2 linked regions of the Styela clava genome follow. The protein of the gene in region 2 binds, or shares a complex with, the protein of the main gene of each other region. Links are inferred from orthologs where the notes say so. Each region holds a gene or a part of one and is shown on either strand. Other genes may lie near its edges. The genes, in order: ras-related protein Rab-21-like and rab5 GDP/GTP exchange factor-like.

Region 1 (10,046 bases), on a different chromosome or scaffold from region 2:
TTGCTGTTAAAATGCTCCTCTCTTCTGGATTAATGGAAGACCACCCTTCTGGGCCATATCTTAATTTTACAGAAGCCGACATGCCGGCCAGAGTAAACTACGGGCATTCGAGTGTATTATACTTCTAGTATCACATTGTCAAGGTTACAGCAAATTAATTGCAATTATGATGTCAGAATGTAACGAATTTGGCCTCTGCAGCAGAGCTGCCACGTCAGATGTTTTATAGCTAGATCTGCTAGATGTTTTGTTCAAGATCAGGATGTACAATTTGGAGTCTAGATGTTAGCTATAAAATATGATACTTTTTTTCAACGTTCCAAATAATATCTGGTGGGAAATAAAAATGCGATGTATATAATTGTTAAACGAATAGTACTGTATTTAGAATTAGATGTAAGATTGATGAAACTTGAATCATATGCCTGATTTAGATGTTTTTTAAGGTCAATCTAGTTATTCTAGATGGTTTTATTCAGACAAAAGTGGCAGCCCTGCCCTGCAGTCTGCAGAGTAATTTAGCATTTATGATAGGCAGATCCACCCAAGGAAATTCTTTGCAAATTCAAACTTTGTACAGCATAATCAATACGACCAGTCGACCATACAATTTTATTTCGATCTTCCGTCTATAGCAAAGAACAAAAAAAAATCACACACAATAGCGACGAAAATATCGGGAAAATAAGCCACACAGGTGAAAACATATATCACCACAATCTTACTGAAGAGAATAAAATGAATTATGTGACGGTGCATGTTGCGAAATGCGAATTACAATAATAACAACTACAAAACTAAGGGATAATCGAATTCATAGTGTTTTTCATTGATGTTGGCGACTTCCTTGTTGAGGCTTATCACCTAATCGACTCAGATATCAAAGGAGACTATTCAAGGAAAAATTTAGGTCTAAAGTCAAAACATTCCGAAAACGTGCGATTGGTGGTCAGTCACATGCTCACGACGTCATCTTTCACAATATTTCCGGCTGAGTGATCTGTCAGTTCATAAATCTATCTTGCTGCTTCGGGCTGAATGTTCGTACCGTACTGTCATAGAGTTACTGAGTTATGATATCCCTATATTTATAATACGTTTTAAATTAGTAAAGAATGCAATGTCACTATAATTACGGTATGTAGTAAAAAACATATCCACAATGTTAGGTTAACTAGTTCTGTAATTAGCGACGTGGTGCCATTATAATTCAGTAATTGCTGAATTGTGTACCGGTAGTGCGACACATAAAATTTTAGCTACTAAACCTGAAAACTGCAAAAAGATGCCCTAATTTTTAAAGTATGTGAATGCAGAAATGTTAATGAACAGATGAAGTTGAATCCATACATAAGACTGTAAGAGATTGTATAGCAAGACCAAATACTGAAATATGAAGGAAATTAGGTTAGCTCATACGTGTATTGGGAAATTGGGTCTAGTATAGTTTAGTACCACAAGTACTTCCAGTGGGCGTAGCATAACGATTTTCGCATATGTTATTCCTAACCCTCACCTGAATATGCCATTCAAAAATTACGTCACTATGACGTCACCATCACTTCATAGGGATTGCCAAAGTATAATTAAAATCGCCCGAAATGACATCTGCGCCGTCGATAAGAACTTGCTAAAGCCGGCGATCTCTCTCCTATCGAGATCGTTGCGACGAGAAAACGAGAGAAATAGCTTGCTCGATTTCGGGTTTTCGTCTGCGCGTTTTGGACGACCATCCGCATACTTCGGTGGGCCTTATTACGCCACTGTGACGTCGGAATGACGTAATTTTTCGGTGACGTTGTCAGGTGGGGGTTAGGATTGACATATGCAAAAATTGTTGAGCCAGGCCAACTAGAAGTGGATGTGGTACTAAACTATACCAGACCCGGGAAATTTTACTCCATGACCACTAAGCAGCAGTAGACTACTGTCTGACTGGACTATACATTTAGAGGGATAATTACATTGTTTTAATTTAATTTATGCCCTCTCTGTTCTTGACTTGATACAGCAGTAGAGATACTGATGGCAGTATGATCACATTATACCTGTATACCAGTATACTGTTATAACTGGTGATAATAATGCATATCAATTCCCGCAACATTCTGACATTTATGAATTTCATTTTACTATGTTATGACATTTAGTCTGCATGTTTTTCTTACTTGTTTATCAGTCTGTTGGATATTCCATGTTGTGAAATACAATTTTTACTGCTGTGTTGTTTTGTGTGAGCTGGTTCCTAGTTTAGGAAATGCTCCTTAGTTTCCTTTGTTAATAGGGCTGTTCACCATAATTTCATGTAAATGATCTAATCACTGAATTAATATAGGTAAGATTTCGACTCTGTAAACCCATGTTAACAGTATCAATGTAAAAGACCTAAAGTTATAGTAATTTACATCTTGATACAAATTTTATTTGTACAGTACAGTATTATTCCTCCAATGTTTAATGAAGTTCATTATTTGACATCTCAATTCCATGCAACACTCTATGCTAAAGGTTTAGATCAGTGGTCCCCAAACTGGGGTCCGCGGACCTTTTGGGGTCCTTGAAGCACTTTCGGAGGGTCCGCAAAAGAAATCTGTTATATGGCTCATAGCTCAATAATACAAAAATTAGGTGCTTAAATTTGCAAATACACATTTGTCGCCTTTTGCTGCATCGCAATCACTGCTGGAGACAGTGATTTCTCACTTTCGGTATTGACCACGCTGCCCCATTGTTGTTATGTAAGCTGTAAGCCTGTGATAGCTGTCTTTACAAGTTAACTAACTGCAGAGGTGTAGCTGATGCTGCCTTTTGCATGTTTGTTGGTATAGGAGGGAGTTTCAGTAGGCAGTTTAGTTATGTCAGTTTGCTTTTAAATGCTGTTTTACAATAAAACAAGTGCACCCATCCCATTAAACTTCTCCATATACTTTTGTTCGTTTCAGCGTTTTCCATTATACGACGTATTGATTTTTGTTTTAGTGCACAAGGCTGTGAATCATTAAAAAAATTGCAAGGGCCCGCCATGGAATATTTTTAAAAAAGTTTGGGAACCACTGGTTTAGATCATTTGGGTTCTATTCTAGCTTGAAAATGTATTAATTCCAGTTAAGAATGACTAATAGATTCCATGCTTTGGACATGTACTAATATGATTCATTAAATAGTCTTGTTTGCTTTTCATATCATGTACAAACCATGAATGGGACCTGTTAAAATTTTGTGTAGAAAACATCTGTCAATCTCACCTTGTAATTTATAATAACAAAAGCCATATTTATCTCAATACAAGCGAATTATATCATACAATCTTTGAGGAAGTAAATATAAATATCACCTGATCAAATTCTAAGTTATTTTTCCTTGATGTTATTGTTAATGTTGTGTGTATATAGTAGTTACAAGTAGTACAATATAATATACAATCATCTTTACGACTGTAATTATTGTAATGGATATTACAATATTGATATGGATATAATTATTGTGTTATATATTTCCCAATATTCTATAGATATATTCTAATTAATATTTATGTATATAAGAAGCTAATATTTAGTTATTATGGTGTTTCGATTAGGAAAGCTTGTTGCTGTTGTAACTGGTGGGAGTACTGGCCTTGGTCTTGCCACTGCTCAACGAATTGTTAAGCAAGGTGGAAAAGTAACCATTATTGACCGCTCGGAATCTAGAGGTATTGAAGCTGTGGAACAATTGGGAAAAGATAATTGTGCATTCTGTCCTTGTGATGTCACAAACACAGAAGATTTATCAGAAGCAGTTGATTTAACATTAGCAAGATTTGATGCTGTGCATGTACTTGTAAATTGTGTTGGGACGTCAACATCCCGTGCAGTATATAATATTGGCCGCGATTTACCCCATCCATTAGATTTGTTCCAAGAAATATTGGATACTAATATTATGGGCACTTTTAATGCCATTCGCTGCTTTGTACCAGAGATGGCAAAAAATGAACCTGACGAAGACGGCCAGCGAGGTGTGATTATTAATACCTCTAGTACCTTTGCATTCTGTGGTCAAAGAAGCCACATTTCTCATTCAACTAGTAAAGCAGCTGTTGCTGCTATGACTTTGCCTCTTGCGAGAGAATTAGGCAAGCAAGGAATCAGAACTGTCGCCATTGCTCCTGGATATTTCAGTACTCCAAATATTATGACAATTCCTGAGAATATTCAGAAGTTGATTTCACATCAAAATCTATACCCAAGTAGATTAGGTAATCCTGATGAATATGCTATGTTAGCACAGTCTATCATTGAGAACACATTTATCAATGGCACTATTATAAAATTAGATGGTGCCTTGAGATCTCTATATTCGTAATAGCCTAGCTCAGCAGTTCCCAAACTTTTTGTTCGCGCGCACCATTTTTATCAGAGAAAAAAACTCACGGTGCACTTACACGAAAAAAAAATGCTGCCTCCAAACAAAACTCAATTTTGTGATCGTTAATGCGTACTTTATGCCTTTCAAAGTTTGTAAACATGTGGGTCTATGCAATATCATTTGAAATGCTAAAAAAATCACTCATGTTCGCTAAACTCGATTCAGCAGTTAAAAGGAATGTAGATCACGAAATTCCAGCAAATAGTGGTTACCTATATTGTTACGTAACGGCAGACAATAAGTAACACAAAGTAAACGACATAGAAAGGTGAAATGAATTTATTGATTCATATGCACAGCATTTGGAAGAAGAAACAATTGAACATTTAAAATAAATACAATATAATATTCAATCATATTTCAGTTATGTTCATCACAATTCTGTTAGTTTTCGCGGCGCACCTTTTGGGAACCGCTGGCCTAGCTGTTGAAGCGCAGCAGTGTTAGCATAGAAAATTTGTGTTCAAATCCCGATATTCCGGTTCTTAAATAGTAAGTCCTCACATATAGTTAGATATCAATGGCTGCTTGTACAAGCCTTGTTCAAATCAACATGCATGAATAAATGTCATATAAAAAAAATTTTACACACTCGATGCATCCATTCAAAGTGAATATATTATGTGTGGTAATTGATGATTCACATACTATATGATTTTGAAATTCAAAATCCATGAACGTTCGTGTCGTCTGTTCATTCTGCGATTAAAAAAACAGGAAATTTTCATATTTCAATATCTTGAACTCAATCAACCAAATCTATTTCACTTTATACTGTTTGAATGTGGCATAATTTTCAATTGTGTGTTCTTGAATTCCTTTGATACTGCCAATCAATCTTTTTTATTTCCACTGCTATTTTTCTTTAGATTTAATATATTTCATAAATAGATAATAGCCTGGTTTGACTTCTTCTATTTGTTGTATATGCAAATTTTTGTCATTGTTTCAAAATAAGAAATCTGATATTTGCTTTTTGCAAGTGCGCTCCACCCATAGGGTAAAATAAGGAGCCAAAAATGGGCTCGAGGACGACAAATTTTAAAGTTGTCCTGCTTGGTGAAGGATGTGTTGGAAAAACATCTCTAGTCTTACGATACTGTGAAGATAAATTTAATGACAAACATATTACCACCCTACAGGTATACTTTTCTGATCATAATCCTAACATTATGAAGTTGGTTAGGGTATATATAATTTTATTTAGGATTATAGAGTCTCCGAAAGATTTTTCATTCAAGTTTTTTATGACTAATAGAGCTGTAAGGAACGGCACTCCACATAGCAGAAACCTTTAGGAAAATAACTTTTACCATAAATTACTTCTTTAAAACATGATTTTGATTTCATTAAAAGCATGTATGCTATATATTTATTTAATCCTATTTGCTGTTGTAGCAATCAGCAAATTTGTGCAAAAGAAATATGTAACATTTTGCTAATGTATTAAAAACTTAATAATAAATTGTTTCTTTTTAGGCATCTTTCTTGAATAAGAAATTAAATGTTGGTGGAAAACGTGTCAATCTCTCAATATGGGTAAATATCATGGAGTACTTTATAAGAAAAACTTGATTTGACTGAAAATTAATAACAAAGAAATGCAGATATGCTAAAAACAGTTGCATATTTTTATTGTGGTATTTAATACGATGAAATTTTATAAGATACCTAATTTGTTTCAATAGCTGTGTATTCAACTGAAACCAATCTGTAATCTGTTGAACTAACTAAACTGTGTTACCAAAATATTGTTCCTATATTTTACGTTTGCTATTCAAATTCTTGGGTTAGGGTAGAATTACCATTTTTTGCTAGCCACGGCCTTTCATCTGGTTACGTACTTACCAGTCAAGGTTGCGAAGAGTTAACCAGTTGTTCGTTTCACATGCATGGACTTGATGATGTAAGGCCGATTACTTGAACCACCCAATGACAGTGTGGATTCCACAATATTTTCATACATAATTATAACCCACAAGATATCTGAACAAGCGGAACTCGTTTATATTCCACAGCAAGTGTGTTCATTATACTTCGCATAGCAACACAACTGTTGAGCCGGTTATTACGCAACAGTTAAATTTTGCTTCAATACACTTACTTCATGCCTGAGTGACTTTTATGATTGTTCTCTCAACAGGATACTGCAGGACAAGAAAGGTTCCATGCACTCGGTCCAATATACTACAGAGACAGTAATGGTGCAATATTAGTTTATGATATCACAGATGAAGACTCTTTTCAGAAGGTATAACATTCCAATGTATTGATAAACGCTTTTGTGCAGTGGTTCCCGACCTTTTACGGCTCGTGGCTCCCTTTCGGAGGATTTCATCACTCATGGCTCCCTGTTTATCATTCCAGTGGTCTTAATAGTGCTAATTTGATTGGTAGATTCCAAATCCCATTATATTCAAACAATTCATGCTCAACAACTTGAAAACACCTCATCCAGAAATGAAACTAAGAAGAACGGGGAGTTTTCTTGTCAAGATAAATGTAAAATCTGTTTTGCGCGTAGCATTATGGCCTCCCTTCAACTGCTCTGTGGCCTCCTCAGGGAGCCAAGGGTCCGCGGTTGAGAACCGCTGACTTAGTTTACTACTATATGTTCACAACAGGCTTGTACCCTTTGAGTAAAAAAGTTGAATTTGAATTATTGTGAGCTTACATAAATAATTCTAAAATAATTGGTAGTTTGTGATCATTTCAAAGAATGATCAAGCGTAATTGTTACATATTTGTGATTGTCAACTGTTTGGCATAATTACCTATCGATGATAATAGTTTAAAAGGCCTCGGGATCGATTCCTTCCACTTCACCAAGAGTGCTCTCTTTTAAGTTAATGATTGCTGATATAGAACTTCTTTCAGAGTAAAGTGTGTAAAACATATTAGTTAAAACTTGCCCAAGTATCTCGCGAATATATTTCGATTGACTAGGATCATTGTCAATGTACTTATTAAAGTGACAAATAATCAGAATTTTGTTTGTTTTTGAAATCAAGGTTAAAAACTGGGTGAAAGAACTCAGAAAAATGTTGGGAGAAGACATTAGTTTAGTAATCGCAGGTATGAACTGTTTTGTTTGATTTAAGATTTCTATTTTGTCTAGATAGCCTTGCATAGTTCTTGTTTCGTATACCAAGATAATAGTAGTAGCCTATAGTTTTTGCCACTGTTTCCGCATATTATCTAAAATAATATTTTTTAAAATGGAGTAGGATATTCTATATATTACTCTAAATCGTGTCATGCCAACAGAGAATTTATAAAAGGCAATGAATATGATATCCAATGAGTTTGAATTTCCCTCTCAAGTCTCCCTCTAAAAACATGGAAAATCTTTATGTGTTAGTGGCTAATGAGTCTAGCTCATCATGGAGGTGTGCAAATACCCCATAAAAATGTTTTACTCAGTTATATCGAAGCTGTTTGTCAAGATTATTCCTGTCTGACTTTCAATGTCTGTAATTAGCAGTTTATACCACATTCTATCAACAAAAGCACTTTGCTTTCTGTATGATGATATTATATTATATAGTCATCCTCAGAAGATAAGGACCAATAAGAATGCCTATTATATGTCAAACCATCAGTATAAATTATATATACTATAAAGAAACATTCAGAATAGTTAACAATTTTACAATAATCCTTCATTTAATAGGAAATAAAATTGATTTGGAAAAAGATCGCCACGTAACAGTATCGGATGCAGAAGCATACGCGGCATCTGTTGGAGCAAAACATATACATACTAGTGCAAAACAGAATAAAGGAATTGAAGAACTATTTCTAACTTTAACTAAACGTAAGTTTTTGGTTCATAATGGACGCAAATATTGTGTGTCTTGTTACGATTTAGAAATAGCTCGAAAGTTTGTGGTAAATTGTATGCTAAACTGCTGCCTCTTCAATAGTTAGCCTACTTGTCATGTTCGAGATGAGAATACAGCGTTCTGAATGCATCTCAACAAAGATGGATTAGCGTGCCTTACTTTTATTGCCAGAATAGTTTCATGAAGTTACATGAGATGGGGAGCCGACGGGCCGAGAAATCTTAGTGGCTCCAGCTCCTAACCATCGAACTATTTTTTATGTTTATAATTTTTCAATACTTCGTAAAAAATATTTAATCCATCCTTTTTCAACTTAATTACTAGTAATAATTTTTAAGTTTATTCTTAAAATTTGATTCACTTGTATCATATCGTTATACATTTGGACTGATGTTTCATGGTGGAGGGCAGACCAAAGTACAAATTAAGTTTGATTATACTGTTTCTTCAGAACAACTCCCCAGCTCTGGTTACAATTATCTTTTAAATCACAAGTGACATATTACATTGCAGATTTGGTAAAGCCTAAGTCAATTTAATTGCAGGTATGTTGGAGACACAACAGACAACAAACACCGGTTCACAAATGGCTGGGAGTTCGGCATCAACCCGAAATGCGAGTCGGAGGGGTGTTGTCGTTGTAAGTGATGAAGAGGCCGCAGCTCAACAACCAAAATCAGGAGGATGTTGCGGAGGAAGCGGAGATTCATAAATTTTGAACGACTGTTGATCAATGACTGTCAACATCTATACAGATACCTGCATGGACTTGATAGATATTACTGTGACATCTTGCATGCAAAATATCTACATTGATCTGATCCAAGTATCATGAGACATAACACTCAATCCTCATTACATGCACTTTTCAGCAGTTCTTGTTAATTTCCTGTTATCCACAAATCAATACTACTAATCAGAGCTGAGAAAGCTCCATACTCTGAGCCAACATCCAGCTGATGGCAATTTTGACTCAGTTTACAGTTCCGAACAATGAAAACACCAAATTTTGTTTGAAACCTTTTCATATGCAAGCATTCTATCATTATCTATCTAGAATTCTCAAATCAACTTTGATTATTGAATATTTTCACTTCGCTCATAACCATTAGAAGTTTGACTAAAATTTTGAGTTTCCATCTCCACAGTTATTTTTCTTTTTGCTCCAAAATCCTGAAGGGACTCATATTTATATGGCATGAATAAATCATGCTGTCTTATTAGATATTTGAAGTTTTGGTATGATTGGGAATCGAAGTTGTGACTAATTCCCTATCTATTTATTATGAAAAGTTGTTAATTTTAAGTGTATATAAACATCAGTGATTTTCCTTAATTCAAAACGCATCTGATTTGAATTCCTGCCTATGTTTTAGGTTGAAAATATCCCAAATGGGAGGTTTTTCTGAAAATTTATTTTTGCGATTGACTTTGAATTATGTAAATGGATGTATAATTGAAAAATCATACATAATATATTCATAAATATACTTCATGAAATGGGCAGCAAAAATGATCAGATTTTACAGAAAGAGTAATTAATTTTGATCACCAAAGTCTTTTGATAAAACGCCCTTTTTCGTTAAAATTAATTGTTCAGACATCACATCGAAACACTTAGGTAACTGCGAAATTACCAATTTGCTAAATGAATATATTGTTTTAATTAGGATTGTTGTTAAACAGTAATTACCTGGTTATGAATAACTCCTGTGCTGTTTCATCGCAATACCTTGATATATATATTTTTCTCCAGTTTCAAACTATTAATATAGATTCTGATTTCTACATAGC
Region 2 (10,836 bases):
CGATAATTGTAGAGATTCGAATATATGTTTACTACATCTTGTTATGCACGACAGTTTGTCTTGAGGTGCTCTTTTTGAATCCATTTCAATGATAGCTACAAAACGAATACATATTTGTGTCATTACATTAGTATGTTTATTCTATAGGCCATTGAAAATTGTTGAAGCGATTGGCCAATTGTGCTAGGCGTTGAGAACATGCTTGCCATCGCACCTCTGATTACCCTGGCTGGTATGAATCCCATGGGAGATAACTATGTACAAAGAGAATTGCGGGATTCCTCGCCATTGTAGGGTGAATCAAGTAACTTCCTCCCAGGATAAATATAGTTTGAATTATACAAACAGTGTTAACTGCATGAAAAATGATGAAAAGTTAGGTTCTGTCTGAGTAAAAGGTGGCTTATAATAAGATGAAGGTATTCAAGGGAACCTATTCAACAGTATTAGTGTTATTGTTAACTTTTAATTAAAAGGACTTAATTATCATAAATTACAACAGAATTTTACAAAGCATTCCTAAAAAACATGAAACATATATTTATTTATCGAAAAAATACCAGTTATAGCTTTATCAATAGCAGCAGCAGCATCTACCCTTTCCTCATTCAGTTGAGCATCTAACATTTCTGTTGTAATCCAATGCAAACTTCGAATCTTTTTCTACAAAACAAAATAATTATATATGACTTCTCATAACTTCTTATTGATAGTAATGTTTTCTCCTAATCATCAAGAATATCGCAGTATTCAAGTAGTCCAGATGATAGGCCGTAGTAAACCATATGATTAGGCAGTCTTATTGTCATTTTACTCCCCGAAATAAATATGAAAATCCTATACTATCTACTATGCAAGGCTTGCCAGCACACGCAAATCTGATAACAGTTGTATAACTATTGTATAACTATAGTAACAGTCACCTGAAACAAACAAAGAAAAAGTTGAAGTATGCCATGCACCTGTACTGCCAAATCTTGACTTTCATCGTCTGTGTGATCGCTACAAAATATACTTCTGTACAATCTTGTCATTAAAAATTTTTCCACATTATCCATAATTCCCTCCTGGTCTTTTTCCGATGAATAACTACTAAACACAGGATGAGTCGTAAGCCTATCTGCCATCGACTGATAAAAATCCTGTACAAGTTCTGACTGCTCTTCAACCGACATTTCCTGGAACAACAATTGAATATATTTGATCAACATTTTGAATGGAAATTCACACTGACAAATTCAGACCGTCAATATTGTTATACTAGTTATTACAATGGCAAATAAATTGTGGATCAAAATTACAAGTTGATGTTAAACTTTGACAATTTCAATAACACACAATGGTAATTACAAATTGTTATTTGGAATGATGTGCCAAATGCCAATACAAAGTAGGCTAAATAGCAGTCAGCACTACTGGTGCCGATGAGAGGAAGGATAAACATACCTCCAAATCATTTAACACAAACAAACATGTGATCACTTGAAAAAGAAAAATCAGAACGTAAATTCCTAATATGTATGGCTTTAAAAAAAATTTTGTCAAACAGTGGGATATGTTCGTGAGTACAACGTATGGAAAGATATCGAACATCCGTAGTGAATCAAGCGAATTGAAAAATGATTTGCAATATATATTATATTGTTAAAAATTACCCTTTCCCATTCACCGCATACATGATGCACAAATAAATACATCAAATTATTTCATATTCAAAGGATGAACTTCAGATATATGAACAAATCGAAATTCTGTTCAAAATCAAACCAAAAGAATGGAAGCATGAGCTGGAAGCATTGGCTGATAAAAATAGAATCAAACTTACTCTGTTTACTACGAGTTTTTCCATGAATGATCTACATTGTTTCATGACATCTTTGGCAGCTGGTTCATTGAATGCTTTTATAAATTCCATAAAATCGTGTGATGCTTGCTTACTTTCATAGCTCTGTTGTCTTTCATGAGTTGCAGAAGACAGCCATCCCATACTTGTTCTATCTTGCCCTAAATAAATCTCTCACAATCAGTAAAGTATAAAATAATCACATTGGAATTGAACGAATAACAAGCTCAAAAAGTCATCAATATATATGCACAGCTGGTCTATATACATCTATAGTCTTCCCACTATCTGGACTTGAGTTTGGAGTCAACCCTTCGGGCATATGCATCTTTGCATGCAATGTCCAATGCAAATACGAAACAACTCTTGTCGAATGACTGCATAAGTATGCCTATTTGTGAGTACCAAAAAGCCCCTTAAAATAATTAATCTATTATAGTCTGATTAAATAATATGCTCAATTGGAACTGCTTAATGAACACACATTGATAACGAACGCTTAGTTATTAAATGTAAAAATGGGAAATTTGAAATGGTTCCATTACATTTGAACCCACGTACATTTGAACCCATGACAATTGCACCTGTATGCTATTGCACCTATGGAATTTTTTTTGTTTCACGGATAGTTAAACCCATGGGTTTTAGCACCCGCATATAGATTGAACCCGTGGATATACGCATGGGTTCAAATGTACATGGGTTCAAATGTACGGTCACCATTTGAAATAACTTACTCAGCAAAATTTTTCGACTGCTATCAGGTGATTTCCGTGAGATTGGTGTTAGAAATGTTGCGGCACGAGACGGGGATTGTTTTTGTGCCGAATTATTTCTAGGAGACACTGCATTTGTTGGACTGTTATCTTCATGATTCGGACTCGGGGTGAAAAGTTTTTTCAAGCTCTGTCTTGTACGATTTTTCTTATCCTCAAATTTGGAGAAGGTGCTGCTAAATTACATTGAATGCTTTTGGAATTTTTAGAAAACAACTTCATAACAATAACTGTATATGCACCAAAAATCCAAGATGTAAGAAATTAACAATTCATGCTGCAGAAATGTGAATATGCTTTATGTATGTAATGCGATTTTGTGGAACATAGACCACATCAAAAGAGCCTTTTCTTGGAACAATGACAGTGGTAATATAACTCAATTTATCAACTATATGGTTATTGAAGCTATCCAGTTTTTATATTTCGGTCCATGAAGATAATACTAAAGCAGTAGAATGAGGTTATACATACAGGATGAATAATAGAAGTAATACCTAATGTTAAATCAGATCAAGGTAGCAAATTCCTGAATAGTCATGTGACTGTCAATTCAATATTGATCATCATTAAATAATCAATATTTAATTTAAAACGCAAAATTGACGGGCACATTTTATAATGCCAATGAATATAACAGAAATGGAAGAGGGTAATTTAGTTTTTACAGGGTTATAAACTCAGTTATTAAATGAAAACAAATAAAAATTCAAAAACATAAAATACAATTTAATGATATTTAATGCTTTTTATAAGCTATACCATATCAATTTCTTGATGTTATTGTTATTATAATATATATAAATGGTTATGGGCGACACTGATGTATGTACCATAAGTCAGTTTCCAATTTCTACCAAACAACTTTCTTGCTATAATATGAAATAAGCAGCATTACATGTAGTAACAAAAAGTATGTATCGAGTAACTGCCAAATAACCATCTATAACCTCTATGCCTCAAATTTCAATTTGGTAAGATTTAATTTCCCCTCAGTTTTTAACTAATTTATGAAACTGCTAATTATAATATATCAATTAATAAAGTATCAATCAGCATTATCATGAATAATGAATTGGATGAGATTTCAAACAGCAGAGATCAATCCATTGAATTGAAACATATTTACATCAAAAACAAGAATTCTGAAAATTTGAGGCATGAGCATGCTATGCAAAAAAAAGCTAAAAAGAAATAATAAATTGAATAATCACAGTCAATGAATATCACATATAAATAGTTGCGGCTGGCTAACCCACCTAGCAAAAGTGCTTTCACTCTGTGCAGTAGAAGTTGGTGGGGTGGTAGGTGTGTGTGATATCTGAGCAGGACTGTTAGCAATGGGGGAAGTCACAGCTTTATTTTCCTGCTCTTGAAGTTTTTTTGCTAATTCATGATCTTGATCAATTTGTAACTGTTTTTGTGATTGATAATGTTCCCTCCAACACTTGGAACAATATCCCTGCAAATGAAAAGAGAATATGCCATTTCGGGCAATCATGGCTTTTATTTGGCAAGCTCTATGTTGTGATTGTGATGTCGTAGTGACGCAATTTTTCGATGACGTAGTTAGGTGGGGGTTAGGAATACTATATGCAAAAATGTTTGTACCACGCCATCTAGTAGTACTTATGGCGTTTAGTGAACATGCGGCCAATACTATTAAGACAATATTACATTTTTATTCAAGATTATCCTATGGTGGGCAAAACCCGCTACTGTCATTTGTAATTAAAAGATTGAGAAACAGAAAAATTCAATCTTCTGACTCTGGCAATTTATAATAACTAAAAGGCCTACAGCAGTACAGTGAAGCAATCAATATTGCAATATTTAGTTAGGTTATACCTTCCATGCATAATTTCCATAGAATCCACATCCATTTCTACAAAGCAATTCTGCTTGGTCAAGATGTATTCCTTTTCTACTGCCAAGTGATTTTATTGAAGTCATTACTTAATTCAGTAAAAAACTCCTGAAATCTGAACTACAATGCTGAGAACATTTGAATGATAGCAGGATATTGCCAATTTGCGTGATACAGTGAAAGTATTACAATATTATCCTATTTCTACAGCAAACTTTAAAAGATAGGTACCGTACTGTACAGTAGGTACCGCACCTACCGGTACGTTATTACCTGAATAATGTAATATCATGACGGCGCAGTCATACAGTAGGTCAGGGTGGTCCAAGGTTGTCGCCTTCCCGGACCACAAAAATATTTTTGCATTGTTCGCGGGACACAATAGCAGTAAAAATATGTAAACAACAAATGCTTTTATTGTGCAAACGATTGATCCTTGTTTTTCATTTATCAAGCTAAATCATACAAAATACGCCAGAAAAATCACTGAAACATGCAAAAGTTTAGCTATATTTACATTTAATGTAAGATTTCAAACTCTTCATAAAGCAGTAACAGAGAAAGTGCTCCCGCAAATGTAAGTGCTCGAACAACGAGGTTCTCAAAGCAAAATTTCCCTCGAAACAACACTAAATGCGATTTTTCGATTAGGCTACCCTTCAGCAAAGGCGACGCGGGCCACAGATAATGACGCCTGGGTTTGGACCACTCTGCCGTAGGTTAGGTACCGGTACCTACCGTATGACAGTACTGCAGTATGAACCTTGTTCGCCAACCTAAAACTTACCCCGACTACCCTACCCGAACAACAATCAACTAAAAAATCCCCTAAATAGGGTACCTATCGACCGCACTGTAAATATGAGGTACGTGGTCAAATTTCCAACTAACTTCAGAACTTGTCTGAACCAGTATATCTACCGTGGAACGGTAACCTAGGTAAAGCCAACGGCCGGCAACCAACTTGCCTAATGTTAAGCAAGTTCATGGACGCCATCTTGTGCCATATTTGGGAAACGCGAAACAATGGAGTCTTATGGAAAATTTTCGTCGTGTTGTTGTACCGAATCGAATAAGTCCGCTGGTACAAGTGCTAGAATGAAACTGAAGGGTGGATTTTGAACTTTAAGATATATGCTATCTTAATATATAACGCAATTTAGGAAAAAAAACTAACCAATGCGCTAAATTTGACCCCAAACACAGCGTAGAACCATTTTTGGTCATATTTCCAAAGATTTCATAGTGATACGCTAATTTGAGGCTGTAAAATGTCTCCGCAACAATCCTACAATGTCATTTGTTCTTCTAGCGCAGCTTTGAGCTGAGCAGTAGGGCATTATGAGAGATTGACGACCGAAAAATGTCAACCAGAAAATAGAAACGGCCATTGAAGCAAAGTTGGGTCGGCCGGTAATTTCGAAGAAAAAATACAACTTTTCATCTGTGACGTCATAAGGAACGCCATTGTCAAATGGTTAATTATGACGATAAGAATGGCCAATTTACTTCGGAAGCAACTCGGAACCGGTATACTTGTCTTCAAAGACAATTTAATGTACTATAAATGTAATTTGGCCAACATGAAAGGATATAAGCATGTACGGCTAAGATTCTACTTCAAAACGCGACCTTCAAAATTTTTCTACGCAAAATATTAGTGAAAATAATAGGTATGTTTCAATGATTGTGTTGAAACTTCCCAAAAGGCGCCGTGTTAAATTGCCGAGAACAATAGGCACAAGATGGCGTCCATTGTCTGAGCGTTGCCTCGCTTATATTATATCAATGACATTAAACAACATGATAGGCAACTCTGACGTCACTCCATAAGACTACAGGCAAAACATTGTATTTCATGATACGCTCCAATGCACATATTTCTCGTCGCCTTTCGCGTCCGTTTTCCGCTCGCTCCTGCTACTCGGCGTCTTTTTTACGTATAGTACCTGCCTTTTTGCGCCTGTAACGAAACAAAATAATCTCTATATCTAAGAAGTTTTGCTTACTTGGAAAGCTGGAATAACAGGCAAGCTGTAAAGAGCAATTCTGAACATCATAGACGTTTTTTTTTTATCAGAGAAGATTACAAACGCGATAGCGGAAAGATTTGTGTGGAACATTTTGCAGATAATGACAAAGTTCAAAGTTAGTAATTTTAATGTTTGCGCTTAATCATTGAAATTTCATTTAAAGAGGGTGTCATACAAAACTGTGCTGCGATACAATTCCATAACACAAAGTTTGCACCTATCGAACTTGCTTTTGTAGGTGAATTTATTAGATATATTACATATTCAGTTAATCGTAGGTAACATTGCTGGTACATAATGCATCGTAGATAGGTTTGTTTAAATTTAGGAATTTAGCTCATAGCCCACTAATTAATATTATCTTCTATGCAGGAGGTTGCAGGGCTGAATTCAACTTGCAGCCTTACCGATCACCTGACGATGCTCATTTAGTTTGGCTCGAGCAAGTCTTCTTGAAATGCTTGTGTGGATGGAAACTACCTATATTTTTTGCCTTCCTCCGATTTTAGACAAATTTATTCTGAGGGATTTCGCATATAATTCTCACTGATTGTTGGCTGTTTATAATTCCTATTGATTGTGAATTCTGATTATAACAATGAGTTGAAAATTTTTTTACCTAATTTACTGGCACCTTTTTCTTGTCAATACTCCAAGCTGAGGTAATAAACATGACAATACATTTATGTCATCTGGAAGCAAAATATGCACACTAATTAATAGTTTGGCACATTGAGATAATACATCATGACAGAAAATACAAGTTAAAGATATGTATGACCAACACATGGTAATTAAAATTAAAAAAAATTAATAGGGGCTGTGGAGTATGGAAAGTTCAAGACAAAGAAAAGAACAAATGTTCATAGCTCATGAACTCTCAATTTTGCCTCCATTGCTTTGTGAAGGCCAGTATATTTCGAGTGGCTGAATTGGTTTACCTTTATGATAGCAACGATTTTGTATTTAATATAGCGAGATTATTTCAATTTAATTGAAGTGATATAATTTCCCAAAGCAATGCTTGAATCGTCTAGAATAGATCAGTGGTGTCAAACTCATGGGTTTTCGAGAGCCGCATTGCATTTTGAAAATTGTAAAAAGAGCCGCAAACAGTTTTTGATAATGTATACTTAAAAGATATTTTTAAGATAGTTTTAGTTTGTGACATATATTGTGATGCAACTAAACAGTTGGATTAAGTTTTATTATTTTCTTCAATTTCAAATGCAATTACATATTAATATTTGCATTCCACTATTATTGCAACATTTGCAAGTTACAGTATTTATTATAAAAAATCGTAAAATTCTATGTACAACCATCAAAATCATTTTTGAACAAGCTTTGAATAAGGAAAGAATAATACATACACTAAAAATAACTTAATCTAAATATATGAACCTAAAATTAACAAAAATACTACAGTATAAACTCAATGTTTTAATAATTACATTTGTCCTGGCGTTTGGCATCTTTTTTGTGTCACCAGCATACTAAGGCCAGTCTGAAATGATTTTATAGTACCAACTCTAACTAACGAGGCCACATGATCATGGGTTTATCTGGATCTTTACGAATGTTTAATTAATTCCAGTAATGCAAAAAAGTTACTTTTATCATTTCATGTATAGATCAGTAAAAAAACAAATGACAGATTTTTTCGACAAGACATTTCGCACTACATTGCGTGGCATAGGATTGCTTGAATTATTATTGATATTGATTTTTAGTAACTAAGTCGTTGTATAATTATATTAATATACAAACACATGGAAATTTTCTGTTCGAAGTTGGTCTTCGAATTTGTCATATTGACTGCTGAGCTTATTGTGTTTTTTGATTGTATTGATGGAAATATGACAAATTAAATAATGTGCTTCAGAATTTTGTGAAGAGCAGAAATGTTACAACTCCCATTTTCTTCGAAAATGCCACCTTCTTCATGTACTTTGCGTTTAATTTAATTACTCAAGTGTTTTATTCAAGTATTCTTTTGCTAGCTTGATGTGTATTCTTAATTGGGTCAAAATGTGGACAAAAAAAATCAATATTCCAAAACTACTTTCAGTAAATTGTTTTCTGTGTGAATAATCAATTTCACTTTAGAAGGTTTGAAAAATCTATTACATTTAGATAAAAAAAAAAAAACTTCCAAAATACTATTACAATTATGGTTAAACGTTCGAGGGCCGCACTGGAAGTTCTCTGGGGCCGCGAGTTTGAGATCCCTGGTCTAGATTGAAGTTGTTCAAAAAATATATGATAGTAATTTATCATGAATGATGAATATACCCCTTCCGGAATTTCTTCTATAGTACTACCAAAAGTTGATGAACCAAATATAACACAGGTGCAGTGAGGTACCCGTAATCCTCATTTCCAAAGCTGTTTTAAGTATGTCTGGCGTGTTTTGTGCCTTTTTACAAATAAGACCGCTTATGCAATCTTACGCTTTGGAATTTTTAGTTATTTTCCTCAAGCTCTGCAGGATGTGGGGGCCATACACAACTCTACCGGAGGGTCAAATGTCTTTGCATGCCTCCATAGGTTGTTTTTCTATTGCAATTTTCTATTTTCAAATGCATTATATTTCTTGGAATCACACTGTCACTGATATGTCGCCAGACTTCTGATATCTCCCCGTCTGCTATAGTTGTCCTGTGGATAAATAATAGGAAATTGAGATTAGACGAATAGTTGAAAGTTTTGCTTTATGTCGGCTTAATTTCTTGATTGATATACTTACTATTTCTGCTATTGCCTCTTGTGCTGCAAGAGTCTCACAATGCTTAGACAGGTTTGTCCACAACTTTCACATCTGAAGAAAGAGAGGAGATTTATTAATTTTCGTTAAGAATAAATAAAGCAGTCTATATGATTCAGAATGGAAAAGCTACTAAATCCAATATCTCATGTTTTATTTAAAAAATATTTTACTGAATTTGGTATATAAACCAACTAATAAAAGGCTTTAGTCAGAAAATTACAAGCATTCGTGGCTCCAAATACTTGAGAAATCAGACTATACAATATAGACCGGTATGAGTGAAATGTTAGGTGAACTTGTTAACACTTTGATTCAATACGCAAATAAAAGTGAATGCGTAATAGTATGTTACAATGAGCAGCAATCAACAATGAGTATATATCCTCACTGGTTAAAAAAATCTAACTGGAGGTGCATGAACTATTTGAAACCATAAGGGGTAAGTAAATATGTAATTTCGGCAAATGGGCAACTACGTACCGTACTGAATTAATAACTTCGTAGTATTTGACAAAGGCTGGCTTTCACACATGTACTTAACAGTGCGATGCCCGGGTGTGATATACAACAATAGTATTCACCTTACCTTTTACCGATTTCTTTTTACCCCAACTTTCAAAAATATCATTAAAATCGACAACAACTGTCAAAGCAGGCACGAACACCATTCGTGCTACGCCTTGAAAGCAGCGCACATCCGCTCGTTTTCGTCTCGTCAAGTATGTGCATTGGAGCGTGCTATCGAATACGATCTTCGGACAAAAATGCCGGAGTTGCGCATCATGTTGTTTAATGTCATTGTATTATATATACGCTTTGGGTAAAGCTAGCGGCCACTTCAAGCGGACAGTTACCAATTTTTCCAAATTTGAACCCGCCATGTTCCACGACAGTTGTCGCGAATTCACTTAATTGCGGCTACATGGATGCAAAAAATTTAACTGAGTTGAAGCGTAATTTATGCAAGAAATAATTTTTTCTCATCCAATTCATTAATACGGTGAATTTGATGAAGATATATAAAACATATATTAAATTTTAAAACAATTCCACTTTGCGGAAAGTTGGGAAATACCCCCCAATTAAAGGAAAATTTTTAAGAAATTGTCGATATAACTCAGTTAAAGCGTCATTTATGCAGGAAATAATATTTTCTCATCCAATTCATTAATACAGTGTATTTGGTGGACAAATATAAAATACATATTAAAATTTAAAAAAAATCCACCGTGCGGAAAGTAGAAAAATTCCCCCCAGTTTAAGAAAAAAATATAGGAAATCTCCAATTTAACTCAGTTAAAGCGTAATTTAGGTAAGAAGGAATTTTTTCTCATCCAATTCATTATTGCAATGTGTTTGGTGGACAAATATAAAATAGATATTAAAATTAAAAAAAAATCCACCGTGCGGAAAGTAGAGAAATTCCCCTCAATTTAATGAAAATATTTAGGAAATCGTCTATCCAACTCAGTTAAAGCATAATTTATGCAAGAAAGAATATTTTCTCATCCAATTCATTGATACAATATATTTGGTGGAAAAATATA

Evidence for each region.
Region 1: the proteins of rab5 GDP/GTP exchange factor-like (region 2) and ras-related protein Rab-21-like are in contact, whole or in part, in a crystal structure (PDB 2OT3), measured with the Homo sapiens proteins. The link is inferred for Styela clava from reciprocal best matches to the Homo sapiens genes RABGEF1 and RAB21. Residues at the interface, in NP_001273991.1 of Homo sapiens: Leu253, Cys254, Lys296, Phe299, Asn300, Lys303, Pro309, Ala310, Ser311, Ala312, Asp313, Phe315, Leu316, Pro317, Ile320, Leu347, Met348, Thr349, Gly350, Glu351, Gly353, Tyr354, Tyr355, Thr357, Asn358, Cys360, Cys361, Ala364, Phe365, Ser373; in NP_055814.1 of Homo sapiens: Ser19, Phe20, Lys21, Gly26, Glu27, Gly28, Lys32, Thr33, Leu37, Thr50, Thr51, Leu52, Gln53, Ala54, Ser55, Phe56, Ala71, Trp73, Asp74, Thr75, Ala76, Gly77, Gln78, Arg80, Phe81, Leu84, Ile87, Tyr88, Asp91.

What each region holds. Positions count from the first base shown.
Region 1 is NC_135255.1:9,326,079-9,336,124, reverse strand, and holds the start of ras-related protein Rab-21-like, read left to right. Parts: upstream 1-5,284; 5' UTR 5,285-5,426; coding exon 5,427-5,549; intron 5,550-5,886; coding exon 5,887-5,946; intron 5,947-6,550; coding exon 6,551-6,658; intron 6,659-7,418; coding exon 7,419-7,482; intron 7,483-8,080; coding exon 8,081-8,224; intron 8,225-8,797; coding exon 8,798-8,964; 3' UTR 8,965-10,046. Other genes in the region: uncharacterized protein LOC120331767, read right to left, coding at 1-82. UniProt on the Homo sapiens protein: The small GTPases Rab are key regulators of intracellular membrane trafficking, from the formation of transport vesicles to their fusion with membranes.
Region 2 is NC_135257.1:5,262,737-5,273,572, forward strand, and holds the start of rab5 GDP/GTP exchange factor-like, read right to left. Parts: upstream 5,008-10,836; 5' UTR 4,573-5,007; coding exon 4,468-4,572; intron 4,082-4,467; coding exon 3,879-4,081; intron 2,796-3,878; coding exon 2,581-2,795; intron 2,005-2,580; coding exon 1,826-2,004; intron 1,179-1,825; coding exon 963-1,178; intron 664-962; coding exon 561-663; intron 96-560; coding exon 1-95. UniProt on the Homo sapiens protein: Rab effector protein acting as linker between gamma-adaptin, RAB4A or RAB5A. Involved in endocytic membrane fusion and membrane trafficking of recycling endosomes. Stimulates nucleotide exchange on RAB5A. Can act as a ubiquitin ligase.